Linked DNA regions of Arabidopsis thaliana. The protein of the gene in region 1 interacts with the protein of each later gene in a pairwise test. Each region holds a gene or a part of one and is shown on either strand. Other genes may lie near its edges.

Region 1 (6,604 bases):
GTATAACAATGAAACACACACATATATAATTTATATTTATGTTCTAATGACTATAACATATAGGTGATACCCTGATTTTTAATGGATTTTTAAAAGTAAAAGAACGAATACTATTTAATGTTGATTCAATATCAAGTGCTATTTGCTGTGGTGTAAAATATGAAAATTTTAGATTCATTTTTTTCAAATGAATTAATTTATCTAGGAATTTTCAATTTGTTAGTTTCTTTATTGTGAGCTTAAAGATTTCTTAAAAACAGTAATCAAGTAATCAACACAAACAAAAATTGCGGTTTTAGTTTCAGATCAGAATCAATTGAATTGGCAAAGCAGCCATATTTTTTTATTGGATTATAAATCGATTTTTGGTTTTTAGGATATATAAAACTAATGTTAACAAAAAAATTGTACGGTTTTTCATATCAGTTTGTTATGCTTAACTAGGCGGTTCAAATACATTTGGTTTATCCAAATTGAACACTTACAACTTTTTAAAAATTATTATCTAGTATTGTTTTCTTTTGGATAATCTATTTGAAGGTATGACGATGACAGAAAGCAAAAGATGTCACAAAGACTCAGATTGCAAAAACAAAGTACCATGTGCAATTCCTGTTGCCTGTCTATATGGCGGTTGCGTTTGTACATTAAAGCAGTCTTTCTCTGCTTGTAAACTTATGTGTGCACAGCAGGGAAAAAACACTATAAACCGTTTTGATTCTGATCATTGTGTTTGCGGCGTTAAGTAAGAAAACAAACATGTTGTAATATAACAAGAGAATTTGCAAAACTTGAATAAAAAGTATAATTTAAATTTGTTTACTTTTCTTTTATAATAACAATTCTTTCTATTCAGAATCAAACAAAAGCTACAAAGAATAATTGTAAAGCAGCGCATTACAAAAGTCTTTACACTAGAGGATGAAAATAAGTAGTATTGTTTACTACCCAAGAAAAGATGAACATTGTATTGTATAGTAACAATCTAATTAAGGTTGCTATGGAAACTTTATATATCTGTATCTTTATGTTTGTACTGTATATCTTCCTTTTGTATACATGCAGATTTTTGCTTTAAATAAGTTATACCGTGTTGGCAATGGTCTATTTAGTTCATCTACAATCTCGAAAACTACATTCTTTAGCCCAATTGTAATGTGGTTTTCACCAATGGATAAATGAATAACATAGAGCTCACCAAAGACACAATTTCCAAAGTCGCTTATCGCTCATGATGAAAAGAAGAGTAACCTTAAAACTTATAACACCATGGTTCACAAGATATTGCATGAACCAATAAGAAAAGATGAATACCATACGTACCAAGAAAAAAAAATATAGTAATCAAATAAGATAACGACTGTGCTAATCCTAAATACTTGCCATAAGCTTCAGATCCTTGGACGTCTAAATTTGCATGGAAGACGATATGATAAAGAGCAGTTCAGTGAAATATCGACTGCGGAATGTGGAATCCCATAGCTTTGATACGCAACGAAATCTCGCTATAGACTTTGCCGACAATTTCAAGAGTATCTCCAATACGAGATCGTATGGGATCTGTTCCAAGTTTACTCCTTCATTCATCGGATTCGAACAAGCTCGTGTCTTCATCATGGTAGAGACGCTTCTCTTAAACACTAAAGTCTCTTTTGTTTTCCATTTGCTAAATTGAAACAGAGATCTAAGTGTTTCTTTAAATATAATGAATATATAGGGGTTAATGTGAACTGTCCTAATAGTATGAGGGCCTAAATGCAAATAATAAAATTCTGATAAATTTTTTAATGAAAGGAATTTGGTGGAACAAGTTAAAAATTATTTACAATGGGATAATATGCATCCATCTAAAATCTCAATGGATGTTGAATACTACTAATATTGGTAACAACAACATACTCAGAACACAACATGTCAATAAACCTGTAAACACTCTCTCTAACTTGGCAATAGTCTCACAAAGTAACGTACAACATAACATGCTCACGGATAGCCATCGAGCACGCCTTTGAGTAGGTTTAACCCTTCCGCAGATATGCTCCGCCTCACCCGTGACTGCATTCGGATCTCTATCCTCTGTGGAGGATCCGGAGAGAAGCACACAACAATCACTGTCAAATTGTCACATGTATTCCGTTTAAGGGCCTCCCTCACAAGCTCTCTAGAGCATCTCTCTGGATCATTATGAATCATCAGTTCCTTCCTAGCTATTGTCACAGCGCACTGGCTGCTCATCACATCCCACAGACCATCACATCCCATTATCAAGAACTCGTCGTCTTCACTCAGGTCTGTCTCTTGCAACTCTGGCTCTGGGCTTAGCGGACAAGCAGAGCCTTTGGGACCTTTCATGTGCCAGTCTCCAATGGCACGTGCAACTGATAGTTGCCCGTTGAGGTAACCGTCATACACAACTCCACCTAACTTTTCTATTCTTACTTTCTCGGCTGTGCAGTTTGGTTTGTGATCTTTGGACAACTCAATTGCCCTACCTCTTCTCCCCAGTACTGCTCGGCAATCACCAGCATTTGCAATTATCAACCTCCTGTAAAGAAAGAAAGTAGCAATTCTATTCAAAATCACATCAAAACTACAAAGAAACATGGTAAAACAGCCCGTTACATAAGTCTTTACACTAAGCCTTATTCTCTATCTTATACACACAGGCAACCTGATAAGTATTGATGATTATACAGGTGATAACATATATAGCTTCCCAAGTTCATAAATACGAATTTAAATGCTCTTACCGTCCAAAAATAAAAGCTGTAAGCGCAGTGGTCCCAGAAGAGATGTCAAGAGAAGAATCATCTGCAAATTCATAATCAGCTTTTAAGAAAGCACTCTTAATTGCTTTCTTTACGCATAGTGGGAAGGAGGAGTCCTCTACAATGAATCTCAGAATGTTCTTTCTAACAAAGTGTGCTGCATCTGTGCCACCGTGGCCATCAAATACCTGCCAAAGGACACACAATCAACAAATGTTAGAAGAGTTTTTGAAGTAATACCTCTTATATCGTACTAGTACAAAAGAGGAGAAGAAAGAAGAATCAGGCTAGTGAATTGCTTTTATGCTTCTTTGGGTAAGATTGGAAGATAAACTCACCCCATAGAAGGCTCCAAGAGAAGAGCATTGAATAGCTGCACCAAGATGATTAACAAGATCATCGATGCAAATGTGTTCATCTTCCATGAACTGTTTTGCCCCTTGCTCAGCACAACTTCCTGATCGGTATACAGGTAGAAACTCTGATTTGTCATCAAGTGACTTCATAACCAAGTTACAAACATCCACATCCTGCGCACAAACAGAAACCAGTTACATCATTCGAATCCCATTGTAACAAAGAAAAGGAAAAAGAAAAAGCAGGGTCAAGTATATTACCGCATTGGCTGCAAGCTGCAGCCTAGTAGCACTGCTTGTGAGGTGCCTCGGAGGTTTTCCTTTACTTATCTGCCTAGTGTCATCTAAGTTCTCTAAAGTATCAATTTCTGTTGCAGAAGAAGTATTATCCTTGTTGAAATCTCCCTCAAGAACCGTTAACAAAGGTGAAAAATCCATACTCATCGGTGAGTTCTTCTCTGAATCATATAAATCTATCAGCAATCCAGACAGTCTCTTCAGGAAGCAATTCCTCTTGTGATAGCGTTTTCAAGTCTGCTGCTTTCCAAGGACTTCCTTTATTCACACTAGATCTAAGATCAATAGAGACCAACTTCAAGGATCAAACTTTGTGAGAAACAAACTTCACCAAAGACCTTGACAACTACAGCAACCTTACTTCCACAAGATCAATTTCAGATTTTGATCAAATACCCAAAATCAACAGATCCTTGATCTTGTAGCAGACTCAACAAATGAAGAAAGTGAAGAAATCCAATGGTCTTGTAGCAAGCTCCCAAACACAACTTTGTAATAGAACCAGCTCTACTCAAAGGTTTCTACTTTTTCTCAGGTCAGATCAAGTAATCGATTATCCACAAATATAACCAAAACTCAGAAGCCTATTTCAACAAAAACCCAGCTCGCAAATTTCAGAAACCTCAAAGAATTCAGCTTTGAAACTAAACCCCAAAGATCGATGAATAAAAATGAAATCTTGAAGCAGGTAGAGAATTCAGAAAGATAACAAAACTACAGAAAAAAAAGCTCTGAGATTCCCCACAGATGACAATGATGATGAATCTTCTTATTCCCTCTTAATTTTCCTTTTCTCTTACCGTAAGATCCTTTCGAAGAAATTCTCGAAAAACCCAGAAAAAGTTATGAGTTTAATGAAGAAGAAGAACAGAATTTGACGAAAGACAATTTCCAAAAGCTTTCTTTGAGAGAGAAAGATAGATAGAGAAAGAGAGAGAGAAGCTTGTCTCGTTCGGTATTTGGTTGGCCACCGGCGTTTCCAGGTAATCTCTCGTATCGTCTATCTGTCAAACCGGAGCTAAATTACCGACACGTGTCAAATATCGACGGTACGCATTACTTTGACCGGGTGGTACCGCCATAAATTCCTAACCATTAGATCTCTAAGATAGAACATCGACGGTCAAGATCGCTACCATGCAAATCTCCTTTTGTCTTTCCCAATGGCGAGGGGTTACCTCCGATTAAAAAATTAAAGTTGCGGCGTCTGATTCCCGCCATACACGTGTCGTAATTATATTGGTTTCAGCTAATGTTGCGGCTGTGTTCACATTACCGAGAAATTTATTTCCGGTTTAGGTTGATCAAAGCCGGTAGAAATCAAATTGGTAGCTAGTTGTTGCCTGTTGGGCATCATAATTAATTCATACCGATGGAAGAAGCATATTAATTTTGTAACTATCAATTACTGACTTTAATTAGAGATTTAGTGGACTAAATATTACATTTCCGTTTGATGAAACATGTTTGAAAAGAGAGAGTAAAGTTTTCAATGTGAATTCTTGAAACTTCTATTCAAACATGTTTGTTAATTGCTAGTAGTTGTTAAGGATTTGACTTTTAAGGTTCATTTTATTTCTTTTCTAATATGCTATCGATCAGACAATCAGTAGGTCACCACAACTTGTGCTACAATATATGTCATGAAATGACACGTACGAGAGTTTTCTTGACCAAATATTTTTACAAATTTGGCGTATAATTCTTCGCAAAATTCTGTTTTTCAAGGTGAGAATATACATAACGTGGGTTGTTAATGTTGCAAGATGGCCAAAATCCCTTCGACTTGACATCTATTTATTGATCTTAGATTGGATCATATCAATGGAGAAAAGGAGAAAAAACAAAAACATGTCAATTATCACAATGCGTCAAATGAATCACATTGGAGAGTAACTAAAACAGAATCAAGAGAAACATTTTGTGAGTGGTTCACTTCTTAGCTTTTTGGTTAGCGGAATCTATGGCGGAGGGAGCAGCATCACCGGAGGGGGTCGGTGCGTCGGTTGTGCCGCCGCCGTGGCCAGGCTTAACGTCCTGGTGACCGGAAGTTCCATAAGCATTCTTCTTGTAATCCTCTATATCCTCGTACTTTGTATACGGACTTGTTTCTAGTGGCAACTCTTGTTTCTCTTCACTCTTCGACATATTTCCTGACATATTTCTTGAATTTAAGTTTAGCTTCTTTTTTTTTTTCTTCCTTGTGTGTGAAGACAATATATTTGGAGACGTAAATAATTATTGTCCAAAGAAATTGCACAAAATTGGCCATCGAACTAGGGAGTGTATTTGACTAGGTTATTTCCACATTTAGCTAAATCTCAATTTCTCTTTATTTCAAAGTTCTAAAATCTAAAGCATGCATGCATTGTCTAATTTGCAATGAATGGAAACAAAACATTCAGTAATTTAACACTATATGGCATATGGTTATAAAAAGTGAATAATCATTTGGTTAACAAAAGAATTACTATTTGTGATACATTTTCACACCTAAAGTTACACTCACACACCTAAAATTAAAACCTACAATATAAAAAATTTCAACAAAAAATTTATATTATGAAAGAAGTAGATAATTGTGTTCCTTCTTCTTCTTCGACAAAAGACGAATCCAACACAGTTACGAATCCTTCTTCTATCATCTGTCTACTAACCAAACAAACCAAATCCTTCGTCTCTTCAATCATCGGATGCATTGTATCTCCCACAACAAAAACATGGTACTGATTCTTCAGCTCGATCCAACTGCAACCCACTTCTTTGCTCACCCCGTTTGCTCTCATGTGTTTCCAAACCCGTTCCACATCTCTCATCCGCCCTAAAGCCGTGTAAATGCCTGACAATTGCACATAAGTTGATGATTCTCTCGATCCAAGGGCCATGAGCTTCTCTCCTGCGTAAACTCCTAGCTCACATTTCCCATGGTTCTTACATGCGCTTAATAGTATCCGCCAAAGGCATAAACCGTGATCAATATTAGCTGATTCGATGAACTCTTTTGCCTCTTTGAGCTGTCCTGCACGGCTCAGCAGATCAACCATACAAGCATAGTGGTCAACTTTTGGATCAAGCCCGATCTGATCTGACATCATATTGAAATAAAACCAGCCTCTCTCTACAAAACCTTTGTGGCTACACGCTGATATAATGTTCACGAAAGTGACATCATCTGGTTCCATT
Region 2 (6,584 bases), 4.4 Mb from region 1:
GATTAGAAAATGGTAAATGAAAGGGAACAATATCTACAAAGAAAATAAAAGCTTGAAAATCCTAAGAACTATTTCCATAATTGTCTTCAATTGCGGCAATGACGGCCCCATGGAAATACCCGAGAACTTGACCCCGATGCGATCCGGGTCTTGACCCGTTCGAAATCTGAATACAGACAAGGAATAGTGATACCTCCTTCGTGGCAAAATCCGTACTCTTTTTCGGCTTCTCGAAGCAGCTCACCGAACAAAGGATGGTTAAAGTAAACGATGGGTACCAAAACTCTATGACAGTCGCCGTCTTTTTGACCCACGTAGATAGCTAAGTGTCCCCTTGGAACCGGGTCGGCTTTCTTATGATCAACGGGTATGTATGCGGATCTTCTCGTAGACCTGCGTCTGAAACTTTGCTTGAGACGTTGGCCCCAACTTTTGAGTTTGGCTAATGGTCTCATCAGCATGCAAGCTTGCTGGGTCGAGTGTATCCGGTTGTATCCTGAACGTTGGATCCGGGTTTTGCGAAAGATCCATCTTGAGACTCGTCTCCCGATTCTAAACCCTATGATCTTCCTCATCTTCTTATAGCTAACTTTAAAAAACAGTTTTTGTCACAAAACTACACTTTTTGAGAGATCTGAGAGGAAATAGAGATTAAGAGAGTGAGACGAGACATGGACTAACGAGTCAAATAAAGAGTGATTCATTTGAACGAGAATAAATAAATATATCAATCTTTTTTACATTTTCTTGATTTTCTCTATAAGAAAGAAAAAAAAAAAGACAATTTCTAGGGAAAACACAAATTCGAAAATGATGTGAACGGACAAAGAAGAAATGCTTTCGATGTATATAAAGTATAAACGTTAAAGAAGAAGAGATCAAGAGAAGAATGAGTGAAAGACAAGAGGTCTTTAAAGGAGTTTATATGGAGTCTAAATAAATGAACGGTTAGATGAAGACTAAGGTCTATGACCGTTGGATTAGATTAAAACTGCCATATTTCTCTTGCTTGGCAGATAGTCCAAACCCGAAGAATCTACATTAAATATGACACGTCCCATTAACCTTTAGCCTACATTTATCATTATCACTGAAACGTTTTGATGGGTTATCAATCACAAATTCACAATACGAAAAAAAACAGTAGTGTCAAACTATTATGGTATTTTAGCGTGTAATTCGTTACGCAGATATTATTATCTATGGTTGATTTTGAATCTGAAAATATGATCTATCGAAGAAAGGCCTGAAATTATTTTATTATCTGAATATGTTTTGTCGGAGCTTACATGCTTAGCATGTTTGAACTTCGAAGATGAAGACAACTATGCCACCACACGTGTGCTGGCCAAGTGGGACAAAGTTTTGAACCTATTCGGTAACACTCACACGAGATCAAATCCCCACCATCTCATTTTATAATGTCGTTTATTTATTTGTTAGTGATCATCTACTGTTTTTTAATAAGGTTAGTGCCCTAGTGATCATCTACTTGTCTGTGATTTTGTAAAAAATATATATAGAATTAAAATTATATTACGAGAACAAAATGTGTACGGTGTGTCCTCTAGTTGCGTTACTTGTGTACGTTGATGATGGTTGATATATATACATATTCATATCAGGACAAAAAAGCTTTTAAAAAGACCAATAAAGATAGATCTAGTTTTGAGTAATTGGAGGATTCACTAAGCTTTTTGGAGCTAAAATGGTGAATTTCCCACGAATCAAATCTGAGAAGAGAAGCTTTCTATATTTTGAGTTACTTTACACAATTACACGTTCATTTGTAAATTAAGATCGTGTTTGTGCTGCATCCAAAAAATTCTTGGAATTTTAAAGTAATGAAATATAACTAAACAAAATGACCACTAAAAAATAAAATAAAAAGCACATGAGAGATGAGTGATTATACTCTGATAAATTAGCTAACAAAATTATGTATATATAAAAAAGGTTTTATGCAGTGTAAATTGTACTTACACACTTAATCAAAGCAAAACAAAAATATTAAACCGACAATAATACGTAAACCAAAAAACCAATATTCCTTAAAATCAATTTGTGTTTCCAACCGACAAGTTCTTTGTATATATGGTTAATCATATTTTGTTGTAGTCCGTATCCTAGCTAAAAGACGTTTAAACGTTCATAATGGATATGACCCACCCAGCTGGTGAAGATATTCGTTTTTCGTGATCATATATATATGTTTCTTTTTGCCCATCCCTGTTTCTATTAACCCAAGTTAAATTAGCTATATATGAGCAAAAACTATGAGTTGAAGTTAAGCACAATTTCCGAATCACAAAAAAAAAACAAATTGATTTGGACCTTTCGATAATAGGAATCAGAAAGAAGTTTGTTCCAAACACTTCTCTTATATAAATCCCAACTCATCAGCTTCGTGTTTCCGTACAGTGCGTACATATACGAACGTGTCACTCGGCTTTTAACGTCAACTTAATCGAGAGCCCAATTCAGGCTTACTATAAGCCTTAATAAGCCCAATATTAAAAGTCCCTGATTATTGTGAGCCCAATATTAAAAGTCCATGACTATGGTGAGCCCAATAATAAAAGTCCATGACTATGGTGAGCCCAATAATAAAAGTCCTTGATTAAAAGGCCCATCACCAGTGGAGCGAAGAAGCGGAGGAGGGAAGAGGGATGCGATCCTCTCGTCATCGCTGGTTCCATCAGTTTCAGTGAGAATCAGATCGTCGTTGTACTGAGAGCTCCGGCATTGGTTCACGGCGGAGCTGGAGAGTTATCTAAGAACGGAGAGGTTACTGATCTGAATTGTTGAAGATCGGAAAATGACAGAATCGAGTCTGGATCTGCAGGAATCTGGTTGGGAAGAACTTAGGCGGGAAGCTCGTAAAATTGAAGGAGATCTAGACGTTAAGCTCTCTTCTTACGCTAAGCTAGGCGCCAGGTTTACTCAAGGCGGTTCGTTCTTCTTCCTTTCCGCTTGATCATGCTATCTGTGTCTTTCTTTGTTATTTCCATTGCTTTGAATGTTGCTGTTATGTCTACTATCTGAATGTGGGGGTTAGTAGTCTGTAATGTGATATAGATCTAGGAATCAATGTTGGATATGATCTCTTCACCGAATTGAATTTGATCGCCATTGTTTGCTCAGTCTATGTTATGCTTCCCCAATGCTTAATTCATGTGTGGTGTTTGGTAGAGTAAAGTTAAAATTGGTAATGTTTCTCTCAGATTCCTGTCAAAATTATTTTTCTGTGAATGACTAAGGTAAGAAGAATTTTTGTGTGTTAAGCTTACTGTTTTGCATTAGCTTTCAGTTTTTAAGAATTGCATTGTTGTATGTATCAGATACTGATCTTGTTATGAATTATGAGAAAGTATTGAAATGTGTTTTGGTTTCAGGGTATGTTGACACTGGGTCTCCAACCGTTGGATCGGGGAGATCATGGAAGTCTATGGAGATGGAAATTCAATCGTTGCTTGAGAAGTTGTTGGATATTAATGATTCCATGAGTAGATGTGCTGCATCTGCTGCACCCACAACATCGGTTACTCAAAAACTAGCAAGGCACAGGGATATACTTCATGAATATACCCAGGTTTTCTTGCACCATATTTGACTTCTTTCCTTTCTAAGCTCTTTGTTGTATTCAATAGCTATCCCCATCACGTAAGTTTATTTGTTATTTTTCGAAGTTTGAATGACATTTTGGAGAATTATAACTTAGTAATATATCGGGGATCTCAAACTTGAAAATTCTGATCATGCTATTGATGCAACAATCTTCAGCTAAATAATTTTGGTGCATTATGCATAAGGTAGATAAGTTGATAGATGCCTTTGCATAGAACAAAGTTTTGGTACTCCTATCCACTGTTTGCGTATCATGCATCAGTGATCAGTGATACTAGCTGAGTAATTGCAGTCCCATTTTGAAAAGGAAAACCCCTTTGCACTAGTGTAGATTTGTTTAGTGATACTTATGTGTGTTCTGTAGTAATATGAAATCATACGTATTATAGGGCCTATTTTTTCATTATAATGATATTTTAATGTGAACTTGTAGGAGTTTCGAAGAATAAAAGGAAATATAAACTCGTTGAGAGAACACGCTGAGCTTCTGAGTTCTGTCAGGGATGACATAAGTGAATATAAGGTAAAGATCCTATAGCCTCTTAGTTTAGAAAATGAATATTCTTATTATTGGAGATACACATTCTTCTATGCTCACATTTTGATTGGAAGTTGGGTTCTGTTTTTGCTTCTGCAGGCTTCTGGTAGTATGTCACCAGGTGTGCAAGTGTTAAGGGAGAGAGCTTCAATCCATGGAAGTATATCCCATGTAAGATACTTTCTGTAATCATGGCATTTGTAATCTGAGTGTTATATTCTGTTAATAATAGCCCACTTTGTAAGGTAATTTTCTAATGAGGATGTTATGGAGAATTTGGCTGCAGATTGATGATGTGATTGGTCAAGCTCAAGCGACAAGAGCAGTTCTTGGCTCTCAACGATCTCTGTTTTCAGATGTTCAAGGGAAAGTAAAAAATCTCGGAGACAAATTCCCAGTGATTCGTGGCTTACTTGGTATCTCTATTCAACCTCTATATGATATTCTCAACTAATCTCATTAGCCTTCTATTATCCTTAAGCAACTTTTGGTTTTTTCAATTAATAGGCTCAATTAAAAGGAAACGTTCTCGGGACACACTTATCCTCTCCGCTGTCATCGCTGCTTGTACGTTGTTTCTAATCATCTACTGGCTCTCAAAATAAACAGAATGTTCATACACCTAAGCTATAAAACGAGTTTGCCTTGACATCCCTAGATCGATTTTTTTACAAGTTTTTTCTTGCTTTTGTGTTTTTGCCATTATGTTGGGTTATATGTTTGTAGGACAATATTACACCCTGAATCATATCGTAAAAGTAAAATTCGAAACATATATTTCACAACATCAAAGATCCACCCATGTGACTTCATTCAGGTACTTACTTTTTATTACCACACGCTTAAATTCTTCAACATTGGTCCAACATACAATGTGGTCCAATACAACACATTATGCTCTGTTTTATTATGTTAGATTTTTATTACTCTCTCTTTCCCTTAGTTTGGTCCTCTCGACCACAATACTTTGTACGAAAAAGTAATCCAACTCATAAATTCATCTTTCAGCTTACATTTACATCCACTCAGGTCATAATATCTAAAGGCCTCACTCTCTTTATTTTGAGTGGGTACACACTTCACTAATGATGATCCAGTCCCTTGTATTTATTTTCCTGTCTATACTCTTATGTGCCCTACATATAGTTTCAAGAAGTGCTAATCAATGTGGTTCGTACCGGTTTAGAGATATTGTGGTGGGCCAAAGCCCACATAATAGCCAGGCCTGATTGACTTTTCTAAGTTTTCGTTCCTAATAAGTAATAACTATATGGTCAAATTATTGTGGACCTATCAAAAACAATTTGGGTTAGAAAAATATAGATGGATATAGTCTCGTAAAAGATATAGGCTAAACGAGGAAAGTAACAAAGAGTTACTCCAACGTATGATTCGTTATCTAATACTAATTATAGTTTGAATATTGCTTTTGGAGGGAGGAGATTGTAATATATTTTAGCTTTTGGCTTTTTGCTTTACATTGGCTGGACATAGGACTAGGAATCAGAGGCTCTTTTTTAAATAAAAGCTTGTTTAGATTCTGCGCTTCCCAATGGGAGACCGTTTCTTACGAATTTTCAGACAATAAAACACTCGAGAGAATCAGAAGAGGTTCAGTTTCTCTTTTTGGTTAAAAGTGAAAAAAATAATCATTATAATTTTTGTAAAGACAGTTGATATGTGATGTCTATAGACTATAGTATAGTACACTAATCAACCATTGAACCATCACCGATATTCGATTACTCACGGATCGGGGTATACAAACCCTTAGGAACAATCGGACTTATGAAACTCATGGAATTATTCTTCGTCTACGTTGGTTTAAGACTCATAATTTTTCCGTATATAATTTACCGAGATTTTTATCTGAGATTTGTAATGGTTAATATTGAGTTGGATTGTTAAATGCAACAACATTCTTATGATTGTTTACATTTTAGCGGTATATTTTTTCGTTTGTATCACATCACGTTTGAGTTACGATTTGCAGATGATGTTATGTCAAAGAGTAAATGTGTCTTTAATGTAATTAAACACAAAATATTAAAGAGGTAAACACATACATAAATGCCAAAAAGTTAAAGCAAGCTATCGTCAGTGCAATATACACATTAGTGTGGTTGAAATAGTATGGTCAAATTTAAAGTATTTAATGGGAAATTATCCTAGTAAATAATTAAATTGAAGATATATAGACTATTAACCATAAACTAATGAGGTTTTATTATGATTGATATACGAGGTGCAATTCTCGATTATCTTATATCAAAAGAGGAAGTGCAGGTCGTACTTCGAAGTTCATTTATCAGAGTTGTAATCGGGACTCATCACTCATCTAGTCATATGTTGCATTCTTGCCTTTGATTAGGCTTCGCTGAAATGTAGGACGTGATTAATAATTAAGCATCAAAAGATT

What was found.
Region 2: the proteins of PP2CG1 (region 1) and GOS12 interact in a protein complementation assay, tested with the Arabidopsis thaliana proteins (one large-scale study listed by BioGRID).

The regions. Positions count from the first base shown.
Region 1 is NC_003071.7:14,251,164-14,257,767, reverse strand, and holds PP2CG1 (Protein phosphatase 2C family protein), read right to left. Parts: upstream 4,557-6,604; 5' UTR 3,569-4,556; coding exon 3,386-3,568; intron 3,299-3,385; coding exon 3,107-3,298; intron 2,957-3,106; coding exon 2,751-2,956; intron 2,546-2,750; coding exon 1,984-2,545; 3' UTR 1,765-1,983; downstream 1-1,764. Other genes in the region: AT2G33705 (F-box family protein), read right to left, coding at 1,408-1,617; AT2G33690 (Late embryogenesis abundant protein, group 6), read right to left, coding at 5,354-5,581; AT2G33680 (Tetratricopeptide repeat (TPR)-like superfamily protein), read right to left, coding at 5,977-6,604. UniProt on the Arabidopsis thaliana protein: Confers salt tolerance by triggering the expression of stress-responsive genes.
Region 2 is NC_003071.7:18,635,875-18,642,458, reverse strand, and holds GOS12 (golgi snare 12), read left to right. Parts: upstream 1-2,419; 5' UTR 2,420-2,818; coding exon 2,819-2,951; intron 2,952-3,341; coding exon 3,342-3,592; intron 3,593-4,060; coding exon 4,061-4,150; intron 4,151-4,264; coding exon 4,265-4,336; intron 4,337-4,451; coding exon 4,452-4,581; intron 4,582-4,672; coding exon 4,673-4,770; 3' UTR 4,771-4,942; downstream 4,943-6,584. Other genes in the region: SAUR36 (SAUR-like auxin-responsive protein family), read right to left, coding at 87-575. UniProt on the Arabidopsis thaliana protein: Involved in transport from the ER to the Golgi apparatus as well as in intra-Golgi transport. It belongs to a super-family of proteins called t-SNAREs or soluble NSF (N-ethylmaleimide-sensitive factor) attachment protein receptor.